4 linked regions of the Drosophila melanogaster genome follow. The gene in region 2 interacts genetically with the main gene of each other region. Each region holds a gene or a part of one and is shown on either strand. Other genes may lie near its edges.

Region 1 (4,717 bases), on a different chromosome or scaffold from region 2:
TTACAGAGTGACTGACGCACAATGAACCAAGACACATATCAATCTTAATTTTACAATTGCGTGCAATGCTCTTCGATGATTATATTTTACAATAAAGGTTATTTTAAAAGTTTATGAAAACATGTTAAATTGAACCCCACTTCCAGATGCAACTACAGCTGGAGCAGATCACCTCCAGAGGTGAAGCTCGATTGGAGAAGCTGTGGCAGGAGTATCAGGGTGTTCTGGCGGGCTACTGTCAGCACATCGAAGGCTTTTACTCGGAGTACGTGGATCTGAAGCAGCGGGATGAGGAGGCAGCCCTCCAGATTAGCCAGCAGACCCACGAAATCGAGCACCTGGTAGACCAGCTGACCAATTTGCGTCTGGTCTCCGAGGAGTTCTACATCAAGCAACAGGGCCAACTGGAGCAGCGGCAAGCCATCAAACAGCAGTTGACCGAGCGACTAAGGGAGCTACGCACCTGTGTGGAACAGGAGGTGGCCAGGGATCACCAGTTGTTCAAGCTGATGTCCGTGGAGAGCTACCATGCCTTGGAATTCCTCCAGGAAACTGTGGCCAAGGGCGAGACTCTGGCACAGTTGTCTGCGGTCTGTGCCAAGATGGAAACCCAGCGGGAGCGGATGTTCCAGTTGCCGGAAATATCCAAGGAGATTATCGAGATTCGAGATATAGAGGATCAGGGTAATGGTTCCTTGACTGACCCAGCCACTGATCTTCTTAAGGTGAGTAAAAATGCCAGTAGGTAATTTCTTCATTCAACATTGGTTTAACGTACCAGGACGAGGTGGCAGTGGTACCCCAAATGGAGTCCTTCTGGCGACGCGTCAACAACGTGGCCGTGGACGTGGCCTGCCTGAAGCAACAGAAGCGTCGCCTGGAGGCGGAGAACAGCCAGCTAAAGACGCAGCTGCAGGACTACCTGGTAAATTTGAACATTGCCAATGGCTCCAATAGCCACGTCCATAGCTATCTAGCCCGGCGGCCCAAGAGCATGTCCGTGGACAGAGTGTCGCGCCTGCAGCTCCAGCCCAAGCTGGTGAAGAGTGCCCAGCCGACTGGTCGTCGCCCAGCGGCGCCCACACCTCCCACTTTCCACTTGCATCCAGGACGCAGCCGAGCGCCTGCCTTCGAAGCCAACCTCTCCAACGTGGTTCTTTCGAGGACTTTGGCTAGGGGAAAGATGAACCTGGCCAGAATGGAATAATTTGCTAGACTCTGTAGTTATTTGATTAATGCAGGGAAACTATATTAAACAAAACACCTTAAATTGGTGTAGGAACTATTCTCTACCATAACAATTATCTATATATTTTTATAGTATTTTACAGTTGGTTCTACCGTGAACATGAATATTAATATATACGTATTTAAGCAATCACACACAAATTATATAGATATTCTGAATAAAACGGAATTTTTTAATAAACCATTCAACATCACAATACATACATTAATTTAAATATTTACATTTTATTAATATCTTAAAACATAGTTGGTATATCTTTCGATTTCAATTTCAATACAATAGAAATCAATTAAAGATTCAAATAGTTACTTTACGCGGCGCTACCAGATCAACTGATAAATATGTCCTCTGGTATTTTCGAGTATTCCTTTTCGGTACACCCCAAAATATATCGATATATCGATTCCGGGCGTTGCGCTCTCAAATTTCCACAGACACGACCCACGTCCAATTGTGAGTTTTCGCTGCGCCGTGAATCGCACTAAAGAGCAGGAAAATAGTTAATTTCCAACAGTTAAATTGGAGTAAGTTTGCACCCAAGAAAGTACGATCCAACCGCGAAGCTTCCATTTGAAGTAGATACTCGTTTTCGGATATTACAAAGTGCAGCTGCTGCGGATGTAAAGCAAATATTACAAGGAGTTATAGATACAACACTCTGTTATAGATATAGATACAACAACAACGGGGGGAAGTCCCAGGAACGGCAGGCGGTGCGAGCGAGAGGCAGCTAGAACGGCAGTGTGTGCGAGTGAGAGGGGTGGCGGGGCAGTTCTTGTTCTTGTAATTTTACCAAAAAGAAATTTCGTTCGGGAAATGTGGAAAATGTGCGCGAGGAGAGATGATGGAGAAAACAACCCCGAAAAGCGAGCAATCGTCGAATAAATACCAACAAAAACTTACACTGCGCGGCTGATTAATAAAATCCAAAAAATAAAAAGGAAAATAAAAACCAAATCAGCGAACGATACAAAAAAAGCGTTAGAAAGAAAGTGTGAGAACGTGAAATCAAAACTCCGAATCAGAATTTGGATTGTAAATTTTCGGGTCGGTGCGACTGAGACTGAGCGATAAACACAAAGGCAGATAAATACGGAAATAAAATTAATGGAAAACCAGCATAGACACATGTGTGTGGGTGTGTGAGTGTCCAAGTGTGCGTGAGTGTGTGCGTGTGTGTGTGCTTATCGCATGGAAATGCAAGCGTAAGTGGAGCAGGCGAGAAATAATTTCGAGTTTTTGGACAGATAAAAAGCAAAAAGCAAGTAAAGCCCATAAATGCCTAGCCATAATGCCGCCACGCCTACATATGTAACAGCTGCCCACATTTAGTTAACCCACATACTATCACCTATCATGCATCGCAGGACCCAAAAACAACGCCAAAATGATCGCCGCTGCATTGGGTCATCTGTAGAGTCGTCATTGCAACAGCACCAACACCATAAAATGCATCCCATGCATCCCGAAAACCACGCCATCGCCCGGAGCACGAGCACCACTAATAACCCATCTCGCAGTCGGAGCAGCAGGATGTGGCTCCTGCCCGCCTGGCTGCTCCTCGTCCTGGTGGCCAGCAATGGCCTGCCAGCAGTCAGAGGTAAACCCATCCTGGGTAATCCTCCCCAGGCCCAGTGGCTAATCCACATCCTTCCTACTCCTTTCAGGCCAGTACCAATCGCCACGTATCATCGAGCATCCCACGGATCTGGTCGTTAAGAAGAATGAACCCGCCACGCTCAACTGCAAAGTGGAGGGCAAGCCGGAACCCACCATTGAGTGGTTTAAGGTACCCACCAAATAATACTTTTCTAACTTGAATCACCATTACACTGGCAAAAGAAAACTTGATCTTAATGTTTTCATATCAATATTGTATATTTATTTATCTTTAAATATCAAAACAAAAATGAATTCAAAAATTATACAAAATATAAGTGGTTTTGAGTAGTTGTTTTTTTCCGTGTAGCCTTCGAAACCGAACCAAATCGTAACTCAATCACCCCCTCTTCTTTCCGCTCTCAGGATGGCGAACCCGTCAGCACCAACGAAAAGAAATCGCACCGCGTCCAGTTCAAGGACGGCGCCCTCTTCTTCTACAGGACAATGCAGGGCAAGAAGGAACAGGACGGCGGAGAGTACTGGTGCGTGGCCAAGAACCGAGTGGGCCAGGCCGTTAGTCGCCATGCCTCGCTCCAGATAGCTGGTAAGTTAGTCCGCCACTCTAGTCTGCTCTCCAACTTGTCTGCCCACACGCCCAGCTTTGTCTCCGATTATAATGTGCTTTTTTGATATTTTTGCAATTTTTCTTCGCTAGTTTTGCGCGACGATTTTCGCGTGGAGCCCAAAGACACGCGAGTGGCCAAAGGCGAGACGGCTCTGCTGGAGTGTGGGCCGCCCAAAGGCATTCCAGAGCCAACGCTGATTTGGATAAAGGTGGGTTCCGAAAACCAGACTGCGAAAGTCAGTTGTCTAAACCGCTTTTTGTGCTCTTAGGACGGCGTTCCCTTGGACGACCTGAAAGCCATGTCGTTTGGCGCCAGCTCCCGCGTTCGAATTGTGGACGGTGGCAACCTGCTGATCAGCAATGTGGAGCCCATTGATGAGGGCAACTACAAGTGCATTGCCCAGAATCTGGTAGGCACCCGCGAGAGCAGCTATGCCAAGCTGATTGTCCAGGTCAAACCATACTTTATGAAGGAGCCCAAGGATCAGGTGATGCTCTACGGCCAGACAGCCACTTTCCACTGCTCAGTGGGCGGTGATCCGCCGCCGAAAGTGTTGTGGAAAAAGGAGGAGGGCAATATTCCGGTGTCCAGAGCGCGAATCCTTCACGACGAGAAAAGTTTAGAGATATCCAACATAACGCCCACCGATGAGGGCACCTATGTCTGCGAGGCACACAACAATGTCGGTCAGATCAGCGCTAGGGCTTCTCTTATAGTCCATGGTAAGATTAAGTTCCATTACCAAAGAATCGCGTTTTAATCTTCAATTGTTTTCATTAAAGCTCCGCCGAACTTTACGAAAAGACCCAGTAACAAGAAAGTGGGACTAAATGGTGTTGTCCAACTACCTTGCATGGCCTCCGGAAACCCACCGCCATCTGTTTTCTGGACCAAGGAAGGAGTATCCACTCTCATGTTCCCAAATAGTTCGCACGGGAGGCAGCATGTGGCTGCCGATGGAACTCTGCAGATTACGGATGTGCGGCAGGAAGACGAAGGCTACTATGTGTGTTCCGCTTTCAGTGTAGTCGATTCCTCTACAGTACGGGTTTTCCTGCAAGTCAGCTCGTTAGACGAGCGTCCACCTCCGATTATTCAAATCGGACCTGCCAATCAAACACTGCCCAAGGGATCAGTTGCTACTTTACCCTGTCGGGCCACCGGAAATCCCAGTCCCCGTATTAAGTGGTTCCACGATGGACATGCCGTACAAGCGGGCAATCGATACAGCATCATCCAA
Region 2 (4,832 bases):
CCTAGTTTTGGGAGCTACACCAAGAAGGTTTTATCAAAACACTACTTAAACATTACTTAAATATTAAAAAAATATATTTTTTCTGTTTGTTATGTGTTTAGATATAATCCCATTGAACTTCTTCATCAATTTTATAATTTAGACTTCGAAAAAAAAATAAAAGAGATATTTTAGCAATTTAAAGAGCACTAAGTTAGTTTATTGGCATCAATAACTTGTTCCGCCACTCCTACTTCTTCCCGGCCTGAGCCTTCTTTTTGTTCGGCTTGGGCACCAGTTTCAGGCGGATCATTTCCTCGAGGAGCGTGGAGCCCAGGTGGCAGGGATTGGCGGTCATACGGACTCCCGCTTTCTCCAGGGCGGCCACCTTGTCCTTGGCCGCTCCCTTGCCACCGGAAATGATGGCGCCGGCGTGACCCATTCGACGACCCGGTGGAGCAGTCTGTCCAGCAATGAAGCCAACTACTGGCTTGGCCTCGCAGCCAGTGTTCTTCTCCTTAAGGAAATCGGCAGCCTCTTCCTCGGCGGATCCGCCAATCTCTCCAATCATGACAATGCCCTTGATCTCCTTGTCGGACAGAAACACTTTGAGGGCGTCTATGAAGCTAGTTCCGTTAAAGGGATCCCCGCCGAGGCCAACGCAAAGAGCCTGACCCAATCCCACGTTGGTGGTCTGATGGACGGACTCGTAGGTCAGGGTTCCCGACCGCGAGACTATGCCCACCACTCCTCGCTTGTGGATATCTCCCGGCATTATTCCGATTTTGCACTGATCCGGCGAGATGATTCCCGGACAGTTGGGTCCCAGCAGGCGGGACTTCTCCTGGCAATTCAGCATTTGCGATATCCGCACCATATCCGCCTGGGGAATACCCTCGGTGATGGCCACAATCAAGCCAATTTCACTCTCGATAGCCGCGCAAATACCCTCGGCGGCGGATGGAGGTGGTATAAAGATCACCGTGGCATCTGGCTTCGCCTTCTCCACAGCTTCTGCCACCGATTTGAATACGGGCTTGCCCAGATGCTCCGTACCTCCCTTTTTGGGATTCACACCGCCAACTATATTGGTTCCGTACTTTATGGACTCCTCCGAGTGGAAAGTGGCCTGCTTGCCGGTGAATCCCTGGACTAGAACCTTTGTTGCCTTGTTGATCTTCAGGTTGCACACCGTCTTGCCATAGTCCGCCTTGCCACGCCTCAAAATTTGGGGCGTTAACGCCCGCAGGAGCATCTTGCTTCCTCGATTTAGTGACATTTTGTGGGAATTAAGTCTTGGATTGCTGGTGGATTTGTTTTTGGGCCAAAAAATTAAACTTTTGGGGCCTGATTTAGAATGGAGTTCTTACCAAAACTGTTGACCGAATGTCAGGTTTCAACAGTCAAATTATCAGGGAGGTTTGGAAAAAGGCCTGCTGTGTTCTTAACAAATCCTTTTCTGGTAATTTACGTACATGCATGTTTAAGTGCATTTTCTTTTATACAACATTGAGGTCCTATAACTCCTAAACCTTGCTTTGTAACTTCATGTTATTAAATTTAAAGAGTTATTATCTGTTATAATATAAATTTGATAGTAACTTGTTAAAGTAAAAATGAAAACAAATTATCTACCCCACTGTGCCTGCGCTCAGCCCTTCAATTAATTCCGATTCGATTTTAATTGAAATCCAATAGAAACTCCTCTTTTATCTCGCTCTCACTCTCTGAGCGCGCGAAACAGCTGAACTGAAACGCCCGCTTTGGCCAGTTGGGCTGCAACCCGTTCCAATAAGATCATCGTTCAAAGAGAGCGAACAAGAATAGCTACGTTACGATCGCGTTTCAGATCGCTTTCTGACTTCGAAGCGTAAAGACTTAAAACGCGTCGGATAAACACCATGATGTTACTGGTTTTTTTCTGCGCGCCGTCGTTGTGAGCCGAGAAGAAAAAGTAACAAAAGAAGCAGCGCAGGAAAATCAAAATTGGCTGCAAGTGCGTGTCCCGAAAGTTTAATAACCAAGAAAAGTTTGTAAATTGAAAAAGGCACTTAAAGTGGTTACCTAAAATGAAAAGATAATGGGAAAGAGCAAAAAAAAAAGCTGACGCAAGTTCAAGGTGTAGAATTTGTGCGCGTGTGTGAGTGTGCCACAAGTTGTTTGAGCAAAAGTGGAGAAATAATATAAATTCCGAAGGAATTTCAACAGCAAGTGCTTGAAATCGCAATTGGTGTGCCAAACTTAAGGTTTTGCCTTGTCTTTAATCGAGTTTTTAGAGGTTTTAACTCTTTTTTTCCAACAAACACACACATTCACGCATTCTTGATTCTTTGACTCACAAATTACCCACGATAGCAACAACAAAAGTGTTGTCTGTTCCAATAGCCACACGTTCCATTTCTGGTTTTCGCTTTTAATGCCGCACTGTTTCGGACGTTTCCAGCGTTCCTCGTTAACCGGTGTTTGCTTTTTGATGAGCGTGAGAGCGGGGAAAGATAAAAAGAGAGAGAGAGAGACTAAGAAATTGATAAAGAAAATGGAAAAAAGTAAATAAAACAATCAAATTGGTAAACAACGCTGCTTGTTAAAATTAAAAATGGCAGGCAAACACAAAAACTCATTAAAAGCAGAGGAAAACCTAACGGTAGTTTCCTGACTCCCGCTCACTTCCTCTCTCTCGCTCATTCTCTTTGCCGTTGCGCATGCGCAAAACATATTTGTTTCTTGGTGGGAAAGTCAACACAAAGTCTAATAAGAAAACAAACATCACAGGTGTCACCTTTAATATTCGACATTCTGCAATTGTGATTTTAGGTCTTTGTAGAATTCTTGGCACACCTTCGATTTCTGGAAATTAACGCGAAATATTACGAAACGAAGCGGTAAACAAAACCAAATGGTGCGAAAGTGGTAAAAAAAAACGAAATGCGGCGATATCAGTTGTCTTACCACGAAGCATACATATCAATCAAACCGAAATAAATAACCCGAATTGTGTCCATGTGATTCAACGATTTTGTAATTCAATTCGATACGATACGACCTTGAAAAGCATAGGTTTTTATGTTGGTGATTTTAAATTTTATCGAAACGAAATCAATTCGCTACTGGGATTAAGCGAATCAAGGATTATACGACTATGGAACCCGGAATTTTAATTGGTAAGATTGTAGATCTTTATATGGGTTTTTAAAGAGAAAATCATTACTGACTTCAAGGCAGATGTTAAAATACAAGATGAGATAAGTCATATTTCTTGTTTGGAAAATCATTAAAAATTCGATCCAATAACAGATAAATCAATTTATATATACAATTTAATGTATGTAGTGTTCTTTCTCTTAAGTTTATTGGTAAATATTCTTAAAAATATTTTGCTTAGTTTGCTTTGTAGCATAAAATTAAGTCAAAAAGTCGTTCAAAAAGTATTCTGTATGCATTTATTCCCACACATGTTCGGAGCTAATTACAGAAAAAATCCACAGATCATCCAACTGCACTCCCTTCTCAAAACTTAACCCCATTGGGGGAAGAGCAATTATTTCGAGGGCTCAGAACTCGTGCCCCCATTTCACATATCTGAAATAATTTCCATGCTTTCTTCGCTCGCAGAAGCGACTTTAAAAACGGAGACAAACAGACGACCACATGTTGCTTGTAGTCACAGAAACATATGCAATCACTGGGAGAAATTTTTCTAATCTACAGAATATTAAAAAGTGTTAAAGAAAAGAAAATAATTATAATTAGAAAGTAAGTAAAGAAGATGAAAAATACATTTGCAATTGAGAAATTAAGCTAGTCAGACAATTTTTCGAAGCCACATTGTATCTCAAGAACAAAGCGATTTAAATTTCAAATCCTAATATAAATCGAACTGAGCTAATTTTTTCGCCCAGTGTCCTGGAACAACAAAGTGATGGCACACACCCCATTCAGAACCACAGATACAGATACATCGCTTTAACTCATTTGGTTAAGCATTTAATGATCGGGCAAATGCAGAGTCGGCCGAGTTCTGAGGGGACAGCTGGAAAATGCGAGTGAGGAGCAGAGGGTGTGGCCTGGTCTGTAGACGGCGGTTGCTAACGCTCCCAAGCCGAATGCTCTGCGTAACCCGCGCTCAGCTAATGAGCACCCAACCGCTGTGGAGGGGGGTTGGGTGGAAAATCGGGGGAGCGGGCTGCGAACGGGTGTAATTGAGACTCGGTTTAGACACCGAACCGCACCAATTTGTGCGAGAAATCTAATATGTGCGGGTTTCCATAAAACCCGGCGGCGAAAATGCCGAGGGTATATTGTATTTCTTATAAATATTAATAATATGAGTTTTAAAATTTGTAGACTTACAAAAACTTCAACGCAAATAAACGATCATTCGATTTTTATAAATAATATATAACTATTTCGACAATCTGTAGTTGATAAACCCCAAGCAAGGGTTTCGAATAAAATTGCTAAGTATTCTATTTCGTTTTTAGATTAAATGTAAAGTATTCAACAGTTTTCGAATTCCAAATTCGGGCTTGGATGGCATTAGGCGTATCCATGAGTGTCGCTGGTTTGTCTGCGGCTTAAAACCGGCAAAGCCACCAGTTCGGATCGAAATCCGCTCGACCAGCTGGGCTTGGAATGCGACAAAATGCGCATTTGCATTTGGCCACATGTGTCGGTTTTATTTGATATGTTTTTGTATTTGAGCTTAGTGGGATCTGGAGCACACATTACCAATACCAGTGCAGCCGGTCTTTTCAAGTAACACGGACACGGAGTCAAAAATGCGCACGCCCGTAAAAAATTACTCCAACTACAGCTCGCAATTTGTTATTCCCGCTATTTTGCTCTTTTTTTTT
Region 3 (4,631 bases), on a different chromosome or scaffold from region 2:
TCTGAACTTCCTAATGGCTCTGGATTTAAAATCTTTGCCTTTATTAGTTCTACCCAAGTTAACAACTTTCTTAGGAAGCGATTTGCAGTGAAAGTCTTTAGTGCCATGAACAATGGATTTGCCAAGTTAAACGAGAGAACCTTTTATATATTTAAGCAATTTCCATGTCCGAAGTGCATGCCTTAATTTATATATTACCACACACAGGCTTAATTCACTTAAGCGCCTTTTCGTGTCGGCACCTAAAAGCTTTGAATGGGAAGAACATCCGAATCAGAATCCAAATCACCATCAGTCGCCGCGTTTTGTGGGTGCCCAGAAGTTGCCCAACTTCAAGCTGGCATAACAGATACAGGGATGCGGATGCACATACAGATACGGATACTCGAAAGACTCGGTAGCTCGGATTAATTAAAACTGAAAATTGCAGTGGCGTCTGGTGGGGAAATGTGTGTGCTGCTTTTAAAAAACCTGCAATTAGCAGCGAAAAATCTCCGGTTCTGGTAATTTGATCCAAGTCCTCGAAACTTGACCCACATTTTGTGGGCATACGGATGATACGCTAATGAAGGGAATTTCATTTCACTTATTTTTGCGGCCTGCCAGTCCAAAAAAAAATGCCTCCCCCTTCTTTTTCACCCCGTCGTTTATTTTTACGACGCTTTCGCTTAAGCGCTGGCATTTAATGTGAAATTTATCATTTCAACGCCACGCCCCCCACCCCACGCCCAACCAACAATTTGTCGGCCTTGGTCGGATTTTTTATTGCGTTCACATTTCTCCGAGGCGAAAAGTGATATGTTCATTTTTTCAGCCTTTAAAGTTCCTGCTGGTTGCTGGTCGGCGCTTTTAAAATGAGTGTTCCTTTGCCACATGCATTTTTTTAGAGCCACAACTTTTAACCACAACCTGTCTGCACGTCGGTTGCTCGGGGGTGGCAATCACTGGCCAACTGCAAAAAATGCATTTCAAACAGGAGATTTTCCCATTGGTTTGAGCATAAAGTTTTCTGTCAAAGGATTTTTCTGAAATAACGTACTTATGAACAAGATCAGTCGGGGAGAAAGTTGAGGTACATTTCGAAAGCCATTAAAATTTTTAAGTATTAATCTCCTGTGACTCTCATAAAAAGAAATTTGTGTAAAGTAAAACCGAAAATATGTGAAATTTTAAAATATTTAAAAATATAGGAGCAAACCTTTTGAATACCGATATAAATTCATATGATTAATATCCCAACTGCAAATGTCCTCGAAATAATAATGTTTGTTGCTTTTGATGTGTAATTGACTTTGGTCCTAACTTTTGAATTACGCGCCATTTGGAATAAATTGCTCAACTGACCTTAACGCGTTTTTGGTGATGTGCACTCCAGTATCGATTGCTTTTCAATGTCGATGACAGTCATTAAAATATATTATGATTACGTTAGTAAGAAAGCTGAGCACTGATTACTACGTTACTTATGGAAACCCCTTTGTAAAATGATAATGAATTTATAATATGCAAGAATAACATGGTGCGAAAGTCATTTCATCGTCATCGATAGTAGTGAGACCATCGATAAGCATCGATAGCGGATGTGTTTTCGCATCACCCGCGCAGCTAGGGATTTTTTCGACAGTTTCGGATTTTTTTTCGGTCGTCGAGGTCGTTGCGCGCATGTATACTCTTTAGTGGCGAGAAAACGCGTTTGCCAATAGTAAAATCCATCGCAAAGAGGTAGAAAATTAAAATAAGTGCAGCCAAAATCGAAAATAAATGAAAAAGGCACTCAAATAATACATACAGCCGCTGAAAATGTGTTTTAAATAGAACTGCAGCTGCAAGTCCTGATGCCTGCCGAAGGTTAGAGCGAGACAACGCTACTTACTCGAGTGTGTGTGCGCAATTTGTTGATAGTATTTTCTGTTGTTGTAAAAATGCCCCGCTTGCAAGCGTGCAATAACAGCAACAACAAGACCTGAAACAACAACAATAGGCGGCGAATGCCGGCAAAACAAAAACGCGTAAACGATTGATGCGAATAGCGTAAAACAAGAGAATCGAAAGCAATAATCGCCCAAGAATACACAACAAAAGTGGAGTGAGTAAAAGTCGCGTGTGAGTGTTTGCGTCGCGTGTATGTGTGGGTGCAAAGGATACAAATAGAAGGCGCAATCGGCGATTGGCGGGTATCAAGAGCCAAAATGTTGTAAACAAATCGCAAAAGTCCAAATAAACCTGAGCCATTCGAATTACCTCCGATCGCAAACGACGGTTTCCAGCCAAATCAGCGAAAAGCAAACAGAATATGGCCATCACAACAAACAGAAGCAGCAGGACTTTGTGGAACTGGCTGCTCAGCAGTTGTCTCATATTCCAGCTGATTGGCAGCAGTTTGGCAAGTCAAGGTGAGAACTTCAATCTGAAATGATAAATATTTTGCACCAAAGTGCCGTAAGAGGGCTTTATAAAAATGTAGATAGTTTCTATCTTTCGCTGTGCAGGTTGTCAATTTATAATTTTAAACCAAAGACCCATGAAATCCAAGCTTAGTTGCTTACACAGAAAGACATTATCAAATTGTGTACATATATAGATTATTAAAGAGATTATAAAAGATATAAAAAAAATTTTATGAACATGTGATTGAACTTTAATTCTTGGGCTGCGCCTTAATTGCCTTCTGACAGGAGGAAATAATCTAAAACAGTGTATAAATTCGGTAGATTAGATGAGTTTATATCACTTCAATAAATATTACGATTAAATAGTACGAATAGATGAACTACGTGGTTTGTCAGCCCAGTAATTTTTAGTTCACTACACTCATCCACCATATTTTATGACACTATCTGTTACTTTACTCTTCGTACAATTCCCTATCTATGTTGTGTATTCGGGTACCATAAAGTTCGATATCTGTATTTTAACAAATATGAATGCAAGTACAGTTTTGGCGACTGGATGTCTGGTCGACGTGCCAGAAAGCAGGCATTGGGACCCACAAAAAAAAAAAAGCCTCATGTGCGAAAGGTGATGTCAACGGCGAACTGATCCGATAAGCTGTCATATTTCGCAACTCGCGCTCTTTTTGCACTCGTAAAATTGAGGTACTTTCAAAAACCCTGCCCTATTCCATCCACATGTGCCAATCACCCGGGGTAATTCACCGTAATTGCTTCCCATCATATCACCTGCAGATAAGAACTCAAAATGGGATGGTTGCGAAACCGATAGTGCTTCAAAACTTAAACATTACTAATGAGCTTCGCTTGAAACGAGATAAACTAAACACTGCACAACATGAATTGAAAACCAACGCACTTGTTTGCGATTATTTGAGCCAAAACAAACACGATTTCCTGTGAAAAAGTATTCTGAAATCGAAGAAATAGAATCCAACAAAATGGTAGCCGTAAGAGTCATTATCATTAGCTCAAAGCCAGGGAACAAGTGATCTTAGGGGATCAGGTAGGTAAGCGCAGGTAGAACCAGTGCAGCCCAAAATGCAATTAGGTTTTAGGATCAGGCACAGTTTCAGTTTTAGGTCCCAGAAGAAGATTACCCAAGATCGGTGGGCAGCTGCACAATGCATCAATTGATTGATTTGGTTTGAAAACTAAGCCAGGGGTGGCTTAGAGGCTTATCATATTTCCATTTTCGGCTGGAGAAATAAACAATCGCGTAAAATGAGGGAGGGATAATGGAAATCCCCGCAAAAGGCGCAAATAATGCAAACAAATTAAATGTCCTGCCGTGAATCTCGTCTCTGCGCCATCTTCGAAACGAGAAAGAAAAGCCACCCCTAAAAGTGAAAAGTGTCCTGGAAAAACGGGGAGCCGCCTTATCAGCTGCAAAATTTATCAACGCCAGCTCCAAGACAGCCCGAAAAAGGACCCCAAAAAAAGTGCGGTCGTAAAAAATTGTCGGGGCATGTCATATGCAAATGGAATGAAAAATCTTTGAACAAATTTTTAGGTCATGGCATGTCATAAGTCGCAGGACTTAATGCCAGATTTAATTAAAAGCATTCCCTCACATAACTTCAAGCTTTATGTGGTGGGTATGTAATTAAAAAAAAAAGAAAACAACTTTACTTACATGGGTGTAACTAGCTGAAAAGAATTGTGTGACAACAATGGACTCACGTGGCTTCACGACCACTTAGTACCGTATAATAATGCATCAATTAAGGTTGATAAGATACTATGAAAGTAAGACAAAGTTAGACATTTCCGTGTTAGTTAAATTAAATTATAGAAAAGCATTTTAATAATTTATTTTGATCTTTAGATCTATGTGGCCTTAAGACACCCTTGTGGTTTTTTCTATCTTGCTAAACAAACTAGTTGATTTTATAGAAGGATCCTACTTATACCGTGTACGAAAAACTCACGTGCGAGGTCCTGTTCCCATTTTCGTGCTTATTTGTGGCGCTCTGTGTTTTCACTTTCCTGGTCATATTTCCTCGCTCTTTAGCCCGTGAATTGTGGCAATTGTTTGATGTTGTCCTGGGCGAGTCGCCTCACCCTGGCGTTCACTGGCTTTTTCCCGTGGCCAGGAGCACATTTAGCCGCATTACGTGATACAATATATGAGTGACATGTTATTCTAATTTCGCACCCCTTTTCATATTCCTGGACACA
Region 4 (7,090 bases), on a different chromosome or scaffold from region 2:
TTTAGTATTCTGCCACCCACATAAGGGTTAACTCGCTTGACTATTTCCACGAATGTACGCCTGGTCCCACCAAAGGCCACGCCAAGTTATTATTTTCGCCATTTCGCCGGTGTTCGCTACGCAGCTTCTCGTCAGTTCTAATTGGAATACAACTGCAGATCCTTGCAAATTCATCAGCAGCAAAAGAAGGTGAGTAACGCCTGATTGTTGCTAAAAACGTTCATTTAAACGGGGCTTTGCTATTATTCGCAAATTCTCTTCTCCCGTTCGCCGGCTGAAAGTGTCTGCGGAATTAACGGTTATTGGTGAGGGGTGGGTGGTGCTGTCACGAATTTGAGCGTGTGTGTGTGATGCAGGCTGTGGGTGTTTGTACACACACAACAACAACAACAGCGAAGAGAGCCAAAAAGACAAGAGACAGCTGTGTGATGGCTATTTTTGTGTGATTCATGTTGCTTGTAAAATTAAATCTACATGGTGTATTTTTAACGATGATTTCATATCCGATTCCATGGCATAAAGACACAACTAATTCATTGCCAGCAAGTGTATGCAAATTAACCCTTAGCAGCTCCCATTGCGATTGTTAACCCCCGATAAAAAAAAGTAACTACTCAGCTGTTGTGGCCATTTTTTGTTTTTGTTTCGCTGACTCACAGACACATAGTTGATATGCATATGTATGTATGCATGTATGTAGTTTACGCAAGAGCAAACACGTTTGCTTGTATTCGTGCGCGAATGAGTCAAAAAGTTGGCCAAAACGCTTTTATCAGCGAATCGCGATTGAAAATCGGCAGATATTACCACTCACTCGATTTCGGTGGAAGAAAATAACACCTCGCCTTATAAGGTGGGCGATTTTTCTTCTACCATTACGAACACCCCCCACCCCTGGTAATTCGAGCTCACTCACACTCTCGCAGCGGGAATAACGGTTCCTCAGCTGCAGACATTTAATCTTGGTTTCTAGTTTTTCTTCCCCATTTCTTCTTTGCTTTCTGCACGCAACAAACGCATCTGCCGCAGAAAACGCATCAAGACTGCAAGGAGAACTAGTATCGCCAGGCGAAAGTTGAATCTCGGCTTACTTGTCCTCGGCGGCTTAGCCCCTCCCTCCAATCCAACGGCTACTGATGCATTTCCCACTCTAATTGCCAGCCATTTGTTTAAAGCTACTTAAAAACAAAAACAACGTTGCCGGTGCAATAAACCCATTGCACTAAGGCCAAAACAAAAACTGGCAAGCAAACGATATGGGAGTTTCAGTTACGTCGACGTTTTTATACTCTTCTGCGGCAGATTACTTCACAAAAAGCTGAACATTTTAAAACTGTTTTTATAGCCGGCTAAGATATGATCATTGCATCTCTCTACTCTCTATGGCTTACAAACGTTATGGTAATGCTCAAAATGGAATCATAGTTTCATTACCGATCATTCCTGGAAACTTTCCAAATAGTAAAGATAACTCGGTGTTGTCACAACTAATTGATAGGCGAACCCTGCCTTACAGGGCTGATAAAACTATGGGATCGCCGTGGTTTTCCCTCACTTAAGTCGCGCCACCCGTGGCGAGAAGGGTATCACGAAATCACAGTGGTGTCTGCGCAACTCTCTCGGAGAGTTTTCCATTTTCCGCCTGGACCGTAAGCTTTCTCTGCTGCAAAAGTGCAAGACATCGCCGGAGCTTGCACAAAATCCTGCATGTCAGGCCAAAAGCGGTTATTAATGAAACACATTTCATTGCCAGTCGGTGGCTGGCCCCAAATGGTCAAAAGCAGCGCGGAGTAGCCCAACAAGGCGGCGAAACTCAGCAGTTAACAGCGCGGAGCTCTCCTAACAGAGTCCTGTTGAGACCTTCGAGTTCGAGTTCGAAATCGAATCGAATCCCCGAGTGCGTGGGCGTGCGCTTCGTTTAGGGTGTGTTCTGTTCTCCGTGTGTAATCGCATTTGTGTGCCATTTGGTTCTGTGCTTGGTCGGCAGTCACTTGACCCAGTTGAAGGCGCGGACAACTCGGAGGACCTTATTAATGTGCCACTAAATTTGGGCCATACACTGAATATATGTACACAGTGAGCAAGGAGTGGCCACGTTCGTTGGAAACCCGTTGAGTGTCTTATATGGCTGCTGCTGTTACTGCTTCTACTGATTCGATTTGGTTTGGTGTGCCGTCAGTGTTGTGACCGCCGCTTGAGCTTCACGGGCATCCGCAGTCGAGCCACGGAACTTACATAATGTGCTTGATTCGTACCTAGAGTGTTGAGCACCGGAAAAGCCCAGCCACACGCCTGCAAAATGTTCTCCTGCTGCCGATCGAACCCCAAGGCGGGCAAGAAGGAGAAGGAAAAGCGGAACGCAGAGGAGGAGAACGGCGGACAGGTCACCGAAAAGGAGGAACCCCAGCTGAACGGCAAGCCAGGAACTCCGAAGGAGGAGCCAGAGCCTGTGAAACCAGAAAAGGAGCTCTTGGAAGCGCATAATCCCGAGGATGTGCCCACAAGCACCCAGCCAAACACTGGTACTGACGCAACGCTAAGTATTTACCCACCACCCCATCTATTCGCGTTCTCCGGCCTTCGAGCTCAACAGCTGTCTCGGCTTTTGTCTGCTCTCCGGAACGAAGGCCCCTATCCGGCCGGCTCTCACTCACTGCAATGCCACTGCAGCTGACCACCACTTCTGATCTTTCCTTTCATTTCAATCCGGGCACTTCAAGCTGCCTTGAGTGTCCTTTTCTATTTACTTATGAGTTGTCTTCACTGTGCTTTCTCTTCGGTTTATTTCTGTGAATTTTATACATATGAATATCAAGGAATTGCGCCGATTCTCAGTTGATTAATGAGGAATAGCTAATGACATTGCATACACACTTTTTGTTGAGCACTTAGATCGTGCTCATCCATCAAAGTGAACGTATAGTATATAGTAGTGACGAATATAGAAACTAAAATGAAGGTCAATAATTTAGACAGAAAATTCAAGATTCTATAGATTCTATAATAATAAGGTGAGCAGTAAAAACTAACTACTCAATCTGCCAGTGACCATGGTAAATGCTTTTAAATGCGATAAATAAACATAATGAAGACAGGAAGCGAGGTGAGCAGAGAGTGAAGTGAAGTAATCAACTTAAGTATCGGCGCTTTCCTTGATGATCGTCTTGGTAATTCGTCGCTTCATGTAGAGTAATCTTAAGCAACACTTCCACAGCCCAACCAACTCAGGCTGAAGCGGCTAGCAAATCATCACCAGCAAATCCAGCACTAGCACCCAAAGAACCGGAGCCACTGGCCCGCTCAACGCACTCTTCCACATCCACGGCACCACCTGCTTCGATGACCAGCGGCGACGCGGAGGAGGCGGACGAAGTGGTGGTGGTGGCGACGGTCACGCCGACCACACCGCCTCCTCAGCCGCCGCCCACCAAGAGCTGCCTGTCCAGGCACAACTCAACGCATCAGTCGATCAAGAAGAAGGTGAATATCAGCAACCGGGCGGAGATCATCGAGCCGGATCCACTGCCACTGCTCCTGCTGGCCAGCCAGAATCAGGGCTCCTTGCTGGACGACGACGAGGTGTTCTCCGACTCACTGCCGCCACCCAAGCGGGAGAGCATGTGTGCACCCTACATCGAGGGGGATGTCGTCTCGGAAACACTCTTCTTTGCCCACGGATTACCCTCGTGGTTCGACGACGAGCGCCTGAACGACATGTATGCTTACCCAAGATCCTGTTTTGGTTTCACGCCCAAAATATCCATATAGTTAAGCTGAAACCAGAACAGGTCGACCCCTGCATTCCCAGCCCCGCTTTGAATTGCCAGTACATCGTCTCCTCTGTCCTCGTTCCATGTCCAGCGGCTGCATCGAGCCCCCGGTCACGCCGGTGGGACGCGACGAGCTGGAGCTGAAGCGCCAGCGTCTCTACACGGAGCTCCTGCGGGCCGCCCATGCGGCTGTGGAGCATAGCGTGGCCGTGCGGGGTATGCGAGCTTCGATAGAGTCCGATTCTTTTGCTTTTTTTTTTCGATCTCAGCAGTTATTTAAGCGGATGCTTGACTTTCTGTGTTCTTTATGTGTTCGTTTTCGCTGTGAAGAAGTTTTGAGAGTCTAGCGATTCACGTAACTTCCTGATGGCCAATAAGTTCGCAAGTCAAGTGCTTCCGTTTAAAGGTTCAACTTAGTTCTTCTCTCTTATGATTTTTCGTTGTCTTGTGCCGTTTTTGCATGTGGATTATTACTTTCACTCGTTGGGATTAGCTCTTTTTGCATATTGAACTTTATAAGTATTAAGCGCACCAGTTCATCATCATACACAAGCTCGTGATGAGGTATTCCTCTCGAGACGCCTTAGTTTATATCGCCTTTTTTGTCAGGTATTGTGAGTGCACGATTCACTGGGGTTTATCACGCTGAAGCATCATCTCACTCAAGTTATTTTCTTTATAAAACTCAGTGTTATTTGAATAATTCGAGATAATTGCCAAAACGAACTAAACATTTGCCGTTCTCCTCCGCGTCATTTTGGTTCAGATAACGAGCCGGAAGCCAAGCCCTCGGCCGCCGTCGACCACTTGGAGAGCATTTGCGAGCGACTGGAGACCCTCGTCGACCGATTGGAACGGACTCTAACAGCGCCACAGCCGATAGAACTGCCCACGCCCACACTCCCGCCTCCGCCAGCCGAAGAAGAAGAAGCTCTTCCAGTTTTTGAAAAAGCAGAGACACCACCTCCACCTCCCTCGCCGCCCAGCAGCAACATGAGTGTCGCCGGATTCGAGGACATTGTGGCGGGTCCGCTGAGCCAATACCTAACTCTCTCCGCCAAAATTGGCGGCGATGTGGCGCAGCATGCGGAGCTCGTGAAGAGCGCCTTTGGGTGAGTCAGTCTGGATGAGTCATCTATGGTAAAAGTGTAATAATGCCATCGTTCAATTCCGCAACAGCTCCCAACTGCAGTACGTGACGCTGGCCACCCAGATCGCCCAGCCGGCGCAGCCCAAGCAGGCGGAGCTTCTGAAGCCGACCTCGACGCAGATCAGCGCCATCCAGGACTTCCGCGAGAAGCACCGCTCCTCGCCCTTCTTCAACCACCTGTCGGCCATCAGCGAAAGCATTCCCGCCTTGGGCTGGGTGTGCGTGGAGAAGACCCCGGGTCCCTATGTCAAGGAGATGAACGACGCCGGCCAGTTCTACACGAACCGCGTGCTCAAGGAGTGGAAGGAGAAGGATGTTACGCATGTGGAGTGGGCCCGCGCCTGGGTGCAGACGCTCACCGAACTGCAGGCCTACATCCGGCAGTACCACACCACGGGCTTGGTGTGGTCCGGCAAGGGAGCGGCCCCCGCCGGAGGTGCCCCGCCACCACCGCCACCCGGTGGTCTGCCCCCACCGCCGCCCATGCTGGATCTGAGTGCCCTCAAGCTGGATAGCGCCGGAGATGATCGCAGCGCCCTCTTCGCCCAGATCAACCAGGGTGCCGACATCACCAAGGGTGAGCAGCAACTGCAAAAATGGTTAAGTGCTCCTATAGTAAGAAAATGTATCTTTTGATAAACCCGCAGGCTTGAAGAAGGTCACTGGCGACATGCAGACCCATAAAAATCCATCTCTACGCACTGGACCGGCTCCGTTCAAATCGCCAGCCCAGTCGGGCGGCAGCAAGGCCGTTGCTGCTCCATCAGCTGCGCAAGCCAAGGCGCCCGTTTTCGAGCGCGACGGAAAGAAGTGGATCATCGAGTACCAGAAGAACAACACCGGGCTGTTGGTGGAGAACGCCGAGATGAACAACGTGGTGTATGTGTTCAAGTGTGAGGGATCCACTCTGACCGTCAAGGGCAAGGTGAACAACATCGTCTTCGACTCCTGCAAGAAGTGCTCCCTGCTGTTCGATTCCGTGGTGGCCTCCGTGGAGTTCGTCAACTGCCAGAGCGTGCAGATGCAGGTGCTCGGCTCGGTGCCGACGGTATCGATCGACAAGACCGACGGCTGCCAGATGTATCTGTCCAAGGACTCGCTGGGCGTGGAGATCGTCAACTCCAAGTCCTCGGAGATGAACATCCTGTTGCCCGACGACAGCGGCGATTATGTGAGTTCAAAAATTTGTCTCTTGTCTTCAGTCATTTATTTATTTTTTTTGTGATTTCCAGACCGAGTTGGCTTTACCGGAGCAGTATAAGACCACGATTGCCGGCAAGACCCTGAAGACTGTGTGCGTGGACAGCCTCGGCTAAGGCGGTTCTCCTCCTCGGGGATCCTGTTCGTTGCTTTTCCAACTGTCGTCAGCAGCAATCATAATTGTATTTAATCTAAGTGCAAAGTTTTCGTAATTCAAAGATTTTTAGATCAAACATTTCGTATTGATGATGTTGCCAAACATTGCTGTCCTGGCTCGTGGAAAGTATTTATATAATTTATTTCGATGGAAAAGCGATGGCCACAAACCGAACCCAATGTATTTATATCGAGAGTGTGTTGCAATGAGAAACTGAGCATGAAATCCGAACTTTTGAGCAGACTCTTTACTCGATCATCAGATGTAACTCCTTTTTATATTCTATTTAATAAAATTTAAACTTTTTTATCAGATTATTGTGGGAGTATCACAATTTCTGGGGGTGTTTTTCCTTACTTTGTAATCGTTTATTATTGCATTAAATCTAAAACTTCACTTTCGTCCGTTCGTACTTTTATTCTCTATTTAAACAAGGTGCTAGCATTTTTTATCAGATAAAAAAATGAGAACTTGATTTATTGCTACGTACATTTACAATTTCTTTAATGAAGCCGAGCTCAGAATGCAGGGGTCAAGGGTTGGATTGGAGGGGAATGGCTGGTGGCTAATACTAGGACCCTAGATCTTCTTGTACTCGATGCGCTCCACTTTGACCTCGTCGCCGATCAGTTGGTACACGTACGTGACCACCGTGGTGCTCTGAATGTCCATCAGCACGAACGAAGGCACCACATTGGTGTCCAGTGGGTTGAAGGCACCCGTGGCCGATCCCGGATTGATGTAGAATTTGTTGCCGTGCTCGTAGGCCTCGAACTTGTACGTGTGCCCCGTGATCAGGATGTCCACGTCCAG

Evidence for each region.
Region 1: of Dys (region 2) and robo1, changing one suppresses a phenotype caused by changing the other (phenotypic suppression), as found in Drosophila melanogaster (2 studies listed by BioGRID).
Region 3: of Dys (region 2) and fra, changing one suppresses a phenotype caused by changing the other (phenotypic suppression), as found in Drosophila melanogaster (one study listed by BioGRID).
Region 4: of Dys (region 2) and capt, changing one enhances a phenotype caused by changing the other (phenotypic enhancement), as found in Drosophila melanogaster (one study listed by BioGRID).

What each region holds. Positions count from the first base shown.
Region 1 is NT_033778.4:22,697,934-22,702,650, reverse strand, and holds the start of robo1 (roundabout 1), read left to right. Parts: upstream 1-1,680; 5' UTR 1,681-1,773; intron 1,774-2,055; exon of another isoform or gene 2,056-2,454; intron 2,455-2,616; 5' UTR 2,617-2,698; coding exon 2,699-2,849; intron 2,850-2,916; coding exon 2,917-3,038; intron 3,039-3,274; coding exon 3,275-3,455; intron 3,456-3,566; coding exon 3,567-3,685; intron 3,686-3,745; coding exon 3,746-4,199; intron 4,200-4,259; coding exon 4,260-4,717. Other genes in the region: CG30259 (uncharacterized protein), read left to right, coding at 147-725, 782-1,207.
Region 2 is NT_033777.3:19,461,707-19,466,538, forward strand, and holds the start of Dys (dystrophin), read left to right. Parts: upstream 1-1,826; 5' UTR 1,827-1,933; exon of another isoform or gene 1,934-1,975; intron 1,976-2,793; 5' UTR 2,794-3,118; coding exon 3,119-3,140; intron 3,141-4,832. Other genes in the region: Scsalpha2 (Succinyl-coenzyme A synthetase alpha subunit 2), read right to left, coding at 230-1,258.
Region 3 is NT_033778.4:12,527,434-12,532,064, forward strand, and holds the start of fra (frazzled), read left to right. Parts: upstream 1-1,619; 5' UTR 1,620-2,293; coding exon 2,294-2,393; intron 2,394-4,631.
Region 4 is NT_033779.5:1,151,178-1,158,267, reverse strand, and holds capt (capulet), read left to right. Parts: upstream 1-1,956; 5' UTR 1,957-2,299; coding exon 2,300-2,522; intron 2,523-3,214; coding exon 3,215-3,716; intron 3,717-3,861; coding exon 3,862-3,986; intron 3,987-4,536; coding exon 4,537-4,882; intron 4,883-4,949; coding exon 4,950-5,497; intron 5,498-5,567; coding exon 5,568-6,091; intron 6,092-6,152; coding exon 6,153-6,236; 3' UTR 6,237-6,590; downstream 6,591-7,090. Other genes in the region: Vps29 (vacuolar protein sorting 29), read right to left, coding at 6,857-7,090.